2 linked regions of the Drosophila melanogaster genome follow. The protein of the gene in region 2 purifies or fractionates together with the protein of the main gene of each other region. This does not show direct contact. Each region holds a gene or a part of one and is shown on either strand. Other genes may lie near its edges. The genes, in order: capu and spir.

Evidence for each region.
Region 1: the proteins of spir (region 2) and capu purify together in Drosophila melanogaster (affinity purification with western blotting, with the first as the bait; one study listed by BioGRID). This does not show direct contact.

Annotation. Positions count from the first base shown.
Region 1 is NT_033779.5:3,899,794-3,904,729, forward strand, and holds the start of capu (cappuccino), read right to left. Parts: upstream 3,068-4,936; 5' UTR 2,802-3,067; intron 1-2,801. UniProt on the Drosophila melanogaster protein: Acts as an actin nucleation factor and promotes assembly of actin filaments together with spir. May play a role in intracellular vesicle transport along actin fibers, providing a novel link between actin cytoskeleton dynamics and intracellular transport.
Region 2 is NT_033779.5:20,309,614-20,314,461, reverse strand, and holds the start of spir (spire), read right to left. Parts: upstream 3,244-4,848; 5' UTR 2,643-3,243; coding exon 2,048-2,642; intron 1-2,047.

The sequences.
Region 1 (4,936 bases), about 16 Mb from region 2:
CACACACACACACACACACACAAACGCGCCGAGGGAAAGACAGAGACAGATAGACAGTTGGGGAACATTCGCATCGGACACCGTTTGCAGAGCTGCAACTTTAATTGCTTTGGTGGTTTGTGCCAAATTAGATTCTGCGGTTTTGTCGCGTCGCCATTCCGGTAATCGAGGGTGTACTGTACAACGGGGGTCAGAGTGTGATGGGCAAAGTGGGGTATGCGGGATGGTGTCTTGGCCATGGCCTTTTCCCCAAACTCCGTCGAGCTGAAGCCAAAAGCTGACGCTGACGCCCATCAATTAAACTTGTCAATGAGAATGCGATGCAACAGCAGGAACAGCAGAAATAGCGACAAGAACCCGGGGAATAAGAACTAATGGTGACGGTATGGGGGACTTGGAGCTTAGAACAAGGGTTATTGAAGGGAGCTCGAAACCAAACTAAATCGACTGAAAGTTAACTACATTTCACCCGCTTCGCTGGCATTCAAATTAGGTTTCTGTTCGAGACGTGTATATTGGTAATTTGATTGGAGTTTTAGAAATTGAATTCTAGCATGTTTCAAGAAATAATTATCGGCGATGCCACGGAAATCCACGGAACTCTGTATATGAGTTGTGCCAAGAAGAAATGTTTAAATTGTTTTTGTTTATAAAAACTTCTTCTTAAAGGTCACTTGAATATTTAAATTTGCCACAGGCACCTGAAAATACTTCCAAATGCAATCAGCATGGTCCCAGGTATAAGTGGCTTTACATACGCAAGTCGTGCAAATATTATTCCACTTTCCGTTGAATTTGGAATATTTGCAAAAGAATCTAAGGAAAAATGCCTGGCGTCTTTCGAAATTTCCATTTCTCGAAAGCCGCCGGCCATTGACATGACTCTGCGGACTTATCCTGTTGTTCGGTCCTGTCGTTATGGACTCTGTCCTATCTACTATCTTAACAATTGTGCGCACCAAGAAATTGATTTATTTTTGTTTACGCCAAAACAGCAAAAAGTTTACCACATTTTCTGCTCCTTCTCTCCAACTTGCCGTTGGCCAAGTTTTAGTTGGCTTATTGCGTTTGCACTGAAAATCAGAAGTATGTTTCTCAGGATTATTCAATATTTTTCTAACAACTACTTGGCATTTAATTTCTGATATTCCCACGAGCTAAGTAGAATTTTTATTTAATACCTTTAAAGAAGTATATTTAATAGTACAAATTAGACCTAATTATCTTCTCTCTGTGCAGTGCTTTGTTATCCGCTGCTTGGGAACAGTCGGTCTAATCCTAATGCTCCCTAATTACATTGGCCAGCAAGTCAACACAGTCTAGGCCAAGTTTCCCCGCTGCCTATTTGAGTTGGTCATGTCGCTATCTGCTTTCCAGCCCTCTTATCATTTTTTAGACCCATCTTAAAGACACTCCTAATTATTGGCCCTCTGGCGCACAATGCGGCCAGTGAACTGGCTGTTCTGGATTTCTTTTTTTTTTGCCGTTGAGCCCTGTTTATGTGGTTCGACGACACCTGGCGACATCAATTAGGGGGCAGGAATGAGCTCTTCGAAATGGAAAATCGTGGGAAAGTGGCGCCTCATACTGGCCGACAAATGTCAAGATGGCTGCAAATCTCTTTTGCTCTGAAAATCTGAGGTGTTGATAAAGGTGCGATTGAAAAGTTTGATCAATGATACTATTTAAGATTGAAAAGGGTTTCTCGTTATATATTTAGGAAGCAATTTTTCACACTTATTTTTATTTAGTTTTTAATCTCTTACAGTGCCTGCATAATTTGTATGCTTTTTATGCGCAAACATACAGCGCCGCAGCTTAACAAGCATTTTTTTATTTATTTCCCTCATATAAAGAATAATTTTTTTTCCTTCTTCCGCACTGTGGAAATTTATGAAGGGCCCTCGAAATGGCCTACGACCTCTATTCTGCCCCCAAACACATTCCCCAACCCCCGTCAGGTTGCAGCTGGGGGGTGAAAAAAAAAAACGTGGAAAACATCAGACGAGCAAAATGGCGAGCAATAAAAATAATTGCAAAATTCGAGATTCAGGTGGGGGCATGCGGCACGCTTAAAGTGGCACCTCTCTTAGCCACGCCCCCAAGTTTCCAAACCTCTCGCCCCTATTCCACACTTGGCAAACAATGGTGAACAGTGAAACAAAATGTTCATTGCAGTGTAAAATCTGCGAATCGCGGTTTTCTTTTTTTTCACTTTTCCCTCGGTTTGTGTGTGTTTTCGCGTTTTACAATCTGTTTCGCAACTCACGTAAAATATAAGGTAATTTGTGGAAATTTGATGTTTATCGTAAATTGTTTTTTATTTGCACAATGTCACCATTTTGCGGTTTGCCAGCAGCGCAAACTCACACACACACGCAGACTGACAAGCAACACACACACAGGCACGCATTGGTGGTCAGAGTTGCCAAGCAGTCAAAAAATAAAATTCCACAAAAATTGAGTTTTAAAGTTGCGAAATAATTGAATACACTTTTTAAAATCAAAACAAAAATCTGTTAAGTGCAATGATTGTTAAAAATACTAGTGTTGTGCCTAAGTTGTAGTAATTAAAAATAATATATATGAAGATTATTAATTATATATTATACATATATACTGGTCTTTAAATCTGATAAATCATTAATGGTCATTGTTGTTTAATGCTCAGATAGGCAAAATATATTCAGTTTCTGTAAGAATATCTGACAGTCGATCTACATTTTTCCACCTTAATTGTGCGCACCGCAAAAAGAGCATAGATAGATGGTAAAAACAATTGCAAACATTTTTCAATTTACCTGCATGGCGGAGAGGACTTTCCTCCTTTTGTTGTTTACTCCATTTTTTATTGCGTTTTTCTGTGGGCCCAATATTTTGGGCTTAATTGTGGCACGAATACCCCATTGCAGAAGGGCTAACAATGTGATGGCTATGACCATCATAGCCGGATAGAGCTCTTCCATTGGATACACAATCATCTTACCAAAACGATATACAACAAAAAAAAGGAAACGAAAAATTACACAAATTTTGACAGAATTTTGTATGCCTAACCCAATTGAACGGTGTAGACGAACTGCTTGTTTTAAATTTCATTTTATTTACTTTATAATTATCGTATATTCTGATTTACATTGTATAATATATCGTATATCATTACTGTCTAGGTTTACAATTAAAATTAGTTTAAACTTTTGGTTTCGCACTAAAAAGGTCAGTAAAATGTTTCAATCGCCTGGCGTGAACATTTCTGTTCTCTCGGTTCTTTTTTTTTTTAAAAGCAGATTTAATAGTTTACATTTAGTTTGAGTAAAAATTATAGAACGAAAATGGACAGTTTAATATAGTCGCAGACTTAGACTAAAGTTATTGGCTATTTTGATCATATTTGGTTTTGGATTACCAGTACATCTTTGTTTATATCTAGGTGGATACTTGAAAAATGCGTGGGTGGTCTGAGTTTGTTCGGGGACTAAATAAAACTCCTTAACTATTTTTAAAACTATTTTTTTATTATACATAGTTAAAAGTAAGATCATTAATTAAATAAGAAATACCATTTATAGATGTATCTTACTCAACGCCACAGTAACCCATTCATAAAAATGCAGATATTATTCACTATTCTAATAAATATTTTCGATTATGTTTTAAACACATTTATTTCAAATTAAATTTCTAAACTCTTTGGTTTACTCTGTTTATCTATTTACAATGTCCTTAAATCTTTAATATCCATTAAATAGTTTTTATCGCTAAGAGAAATTTATGTAACCTTCATTCAAAAACGAAATTATTTTATTTTACTAAATTCCTTGCTTCCGCTTGCAATTATTCAAATAAAATACTGATACATTTTTCATTTTTAATGCTCACATATTACGTTTTTATTTTGTTTGTTAAAAGTATCAATTATGTGGATTTATTACTCAAATATTTCATAACAGAGCTAAACAAGTATTGGATTAAAGATAATTCCCCCTTCTTTTATACTTTGCTGTGCAATTAAATATTTTGTGTATTTTTACAATATCACTGAGTGCTCAAGGGTTTTACTAACAATCGAAAGCAAGCAAAGAATTCTGTACAACTGATTGTTTTTACAACCCATTTCGATTTTATAATTTTAGAGCGAAAAAAGAAAGCAAAAAGGAATTTGTATCATTTTTGTTTCATCCGCAAGTTGGGAGAAAGTTTTGCTATAGTTGGCTGATGATTTTTCGGTAATCACCTTTCACAAATGAAGGTGAAAAGTAAATAAAAGTATTTGTATTGAACTTTTCACCCAGTTGTAGTTTACAAAATCGGTTTTAAGCTTCCCGCAGTTTAAAATTTAATTCGAATTCGTTTTGATGTCTGTTGATTATTCCATTTGCCGGCTATTATGATTTTATTTTAAAGATTTTCTCTTTTTGCTAAAAGATACTGTTTCTATTTGAATTTCCATATTTTTGCGGTCTTGTATGACGCTGTGTAGATATTTTTTTTGTTAGCCTATTTTTATGTAAATGCAACTCACTTGGACTTTTGACTGGCAGTACTAAATTTTCAAGTTTTTTTTTTAGCAGTTGCAATTTAATGACTCCATGTTCTACTATTTACAGATTGCACAGTAAATAAATTGATATTGTGTGCTCTGATTTTGCCGAGCTGAATTGCACGGAGCTCTTTGTGCAATGGCAAATTAATTTGCAAATTTACACAATCTAATTTTAGGTCACCGAGGGACCCAGACGACCAATTGTTAATTTGTAATTACAATTTTTGCATTATTATTGCTTGCCGACAATGCGAACAATTGAAATTAGCAGCGCAATTAGTCGAACCGAGCAAACAAATATTCGTTCCAATTTAATGCCCCAATGGAGACAAAAGCTAATGAGGAGTCGAAAAACTTTTGCCAACCTTTCCCCTTTTTCGCATTGTGTCGAAG
Region 2 (4,848 bases):
ATAACTTGTTTGAGCAGACTAATTGCCCCCGCTGGCGGTTCTCGAGGTTCCCGGGCCAAAACCTTTCGATATCTCACCTAATGGCTTGGATTTTAGCGGCTGAATTAGCGGCAATTAAGGTGTTACAAGGTGATCTCTGTTTGGCCCGAGGAAAGTTCTGATGATAAGCATAAACAAAGGTTACGTGTGAATTTAGATAAGAAATTGACGATCACAGACCTTTAATTACAGAGGTTTAAGAGCTAAGAACATTTTTTAAGTTATTTATAAAAGAAAATTTCTGAATTTTAAGTAGTATACTGAAATGGGTTTTAAAATCCCCTAGGACTTCCTACAGCATTATCAGCCATCTATAGTTCCTTCACCTCCGAGTTACACAGTTCAATTAATACTGTAACTTCCTGTATCTGCGTGCCCTTAAGATTACCCATGTAACTGGCTAATTGTCTATAAGAGCTAACTAATTGGCCACGCTGATACAAAAGCCGGCTATAGGCAGAGTTGGCCTGGCCAAATAGAGATAGACAGGCCCATACGAAGAAAGATGCAATGGAATGCAGTTAATGCTGCAGACCAAAAGCTGAGCTGAGTCACATTAAGGGCCACCTAGGAGAACGAAATCCAAGATTCCCATCACTACCCACTCAGAAACGCATTTTCCAATTAACGTGGCTTATCTAAAAGTCGATAGATTACCGACCTGTATTTTGACAGTCCCCGCGCAGACGAATGATTAAACAATTAGCTGCGAGACAGACTCAGACACGTTCTGTAGATTCAGAGATCGAGAGGCGAAAAAGTATCCCCCCATCAATTACAGCGAATGCAGGGGGAATGCCGAAAGGAAAGGCTGTGATCGTTACACTGGAAAAAATCTACTTTCGTAGATTTGGATTCGATTGTATTGCGGCAAGGAAAAGCGTTCAATCTTCTGCCCAATCCGAACATGACCTGCCTTTCTTCCAGTGATACTTGTGCTCTCCGAGCTACAAAAGAAAGTGAAAAACACTGCTGATAGGGTACTGGGATGGTACCTTCTTCATGGGAGTCGCCGTTTACACTTTCCCAAGCCAGCACGCAATCAGACAGAAGGCAGAAGTGGGGAAAACCCCAATCAAAGCTGGCTGGCTGCATAACTTAAATGCAGAGGTCATCATCGGATGGCGGATAGTGTGGGTTGTTTGTTTGGAAAGCGCTGGGGACTCCGCTGGCGATGGCCGGGCGATGCCAATAGTCAGATGGATGGCACACGGAAACCCACATCACGGCAGATGTCCGAAAATAAAAGGCCGAGAGAAAGAAGTTAACTGTGGCTTATTAACTGAAAATGAAAGCGTTTGCCGAAAAGACAAAGACCCCTCAGCATTCGGAGAGGCATCAGCGCAACCGGTTTTCCGGCCCAGCTAATCACAGCCCCAGTTTTCATCACTGTTACAGTTCCGCATCTGAAGTCAACACCCAACTGACCTCTGACGGGCCGAAATACACATAAACTATATATATATCTTTAGGAAGACTCATAAAAAATAATAGGAAATATTGCTCAAAGGATACAGAACTTAACACAAAGTCGAAAGAATATACACGGGTTGCTAGCTTAAAGGTAGTCAAATTGCATTTGCGTGCAATGTACAATAAATTATTTGTGATTAAAACATGTTACTATAATTGTAAGGAAAAACGACATTAAAATGTCATTTGGGGTTGGCAGGTTCATTAGGTTATCAATCCAAATTGTTAGTTGATCAATGTTGTATTGAACATTTCCACTTCTATATAGATTCTAAAGATTGCCAGTTGTGTGCAGCACGTTAATAAATAAATGTTATAACATTAATAACTATGACTATAGATCAATTTTAGTTCAAATATTTTCAGCATGATTTAAAAAATAATAAATTAAAAATTCAAGGAATAGAAGATTCATACTAAGTTAATTTCCGTTAATTAAACAACTGGCATAAACTGCAGGAATATTAATTTCCGCTAACTGTAGCCGTGAGAAATATGTATGCATATTGATTTTTCAGTAGGTCGGTCTGCTTACCTCTGTTGATGACGCTGCTGTCGCCGCTGCTGCTGGCGCTGTGGTCCGGCTGATCCACAATCACGTCGTGCTGCGGGGGGAGGGGGATCTGCTCCTGCTGCAGTTGCTCCTTAGGCGTCAGCTGATCCGGGCCGGAGAAGTGGACGCTGCCGTCGCGATGGAAGTGCAGCTCGAATCCGGTGGGCAGGGCGGCCTCGTAGTCCGCGGCACAGGTGTGCGCTTGTACGGCCACCTGGTGGTAGAGCCCGGCGAACTGGTGGATCAGGGCCCAGGCCTGGTCCTCGGAGAGCGGCGCCTTAAAGGAGTCCAGGATGTCGTGCAGCGTGACGCACTGTTCTGGCGAGGAGCAGCGGTGGAAGGCTTGCAGGATGAGCGGGCGGGCTTGGCCCGCCTGCTGGGGATGCGCACTGGAGGACATGGCCAGCTGGTCCGCTGGCAGCTTGTGTTGGGCATCGCCGTTGGCGCTGTCCGGCGATGTGGACAGGAAGGCGTCTTCCTTCGCGTCCTTGAACTTTCCACTCGGGGTGGGTGTGGGCGTGGCCTTGACCTTGGTGGGCGGCGTGTCCGCCTGCTCCTCGGCCTGGTGCTCCGTCATTATGTGTGTGGGCGTGTGTGGCTATCGATGGCTTTCAACCCGATTCCACTGCAAACCCGGCACTGGCCAACATATAATTGATTTTTTTGCCTCTTTCGGGTGGGCTAACCTGCAAAATTCGCGGTTTGTTTTTGGTTCGATTTTGGTTTAGTTTTGTTGTTGTTGTTTTTCTGTGTTGTGTGTGGTAAATGGCAAAGGAAACTTTAATACAATAATAACACAACACGAGGGGATGGAATTCGGATTCCCGACGTACACGATTCTAATATTTTGTTTGTCGTCAGCTACATTAAACACAAAGCACAGGGTATAACAAAAAACACATGATTTTCGCTTGAGAATATTTTAAACTGGCGTCACGTTTTTGTTTTCGCACTTCTTAAGTCGGCATTCGCAAATCGCCGTTAGACTCTGCTAGAAATTTCACAACACTGAGGAGATGGAAATCACGCACTTTGCTTTATTTTTATTTTCTTCTGTTTCATTTGCATTTCTTTATTATTTGAAATCTCTCTGTTTTTCTTCGGCAATCGCACTTCGTTTTTTCTCACCGGCTATTTTTTACACACGTCCGTTCGCCGCGAGTTGCTAATCGTAAATGACACTCTTGTGCTCAAATGCATGCAGCATGCAACAATGTTACCAACTTAAATGTTGCCGGAACGGCCGTTCCAACTTGAGTTAAGAGAGCATTTTGTTCGTACAAGAAGAGAAATATCTTCGTTGTGTTCTAAATGAAATTTGAATTGGAATTGAGGGATTTTTTTTTTAATTAAAACTGTTCTTTTGAAGACAGCTGATTCACCTAATAATAAGATCACATCAAAATGTAGAGTCAATTCGACGGAGAGCGAGAAAAAAAAAACAAACAAGCCCGCGGGAAAAACATAAAGTTTTCTCTTTTCAAATTTGTTGCTTCAAAACGAAAAAAGTGAATGGTCTCTTGTTATGATATACTCTCTTTTTCCGTGGAAACATGCATAGCAACAAGATGATGCAACATTCCCAAATGTTGCAGACTAAAGTGTTGCCGACTAAAATGTTGACGGATCAGCCGTTCCAATTGGAGTTGAGGGACAATTTTTATTCGTAAATAAAGAGAAATTTTTTCGTTGTCTTCTAATTGGAATTAAGGAATTTTTGGGGAGCGACAGCTGATTTACATAATATAAACATTGATTACAAGAATATATTGTAGTATGTGCATATATCGAGGGTACACTGTACCTATAAGTACACAGCAACACTTAGTTGCATTGCATAAATAAATGTCTCAAGTGAGCGTGATATAAGATCACCCATTTATGCTTTAAGCTAAGTCAGCATCCCCACGCTGGCCGCTGGCCATATATGCGCATAAGCTCTCTCTCTCTCTCTCTTATACATATATATATACGCTGCTCTTCTGCCGCTGTCGACGGCGGCGCAGTCGCAGTATTTAGGTAAGATTAGACACTCTGTAGAGGTTAAGCGGGCAGAACCGTTTCTGCTACTCGAAGAGATAAGAAGAAATAAAAAGGTGGCCTGACGGCTGCACCCAACTGCAAGGAAAACACGTGTTCTCAATTGGTGGCATATATTGGTTTATTACATGGCGACCGTGAGGCAGGAGCCTGCGATCTGAGGACTACTGAGGAAATGCTGCTAATATTGCCGATTTGATTTGGGAATTCTAAACAGCGACAACAGGTGTGAGAGGCAGGCCGCCCCTTACACCAGTGCGGGAGACCTAGAGACGGGACACTGATGAAAAAAAAAAGAAACAAAAATACTGAGTGAGTAGAGTGTGGTAATGGGCAAACGCGGATGTCAGGAAATCAAAAATAAAGGTATAGCACATATTAAGTGGCTATGATATACAAATAAAACACCGCCCCCATGGGCAACGGCACCGAAATTAACTGCCGAATTAGACTTTCTGAAAGAAAACCTCCAGCAAAGAAAGCCGAATACCACAACTCACTCAGCAAAAATAGAAATAATCAATGAAGAAATAACTGAAAATTCAACATCACCCAAGCCGAAAAGACCCGACGTCTGCATGAACGACTGCCCTCGACCATTGTAAGCCGCAACAGCAATTAGCACGGCATCCTGCGAGGGTAGGATTAGGATAAAGGATAAAGGATTCCACCGGCGCGCCGCACATGACAACAGCGAATGTCTACCAAGCAGACGTTCGAACACCCTGCTCCTGTCGAGCAAA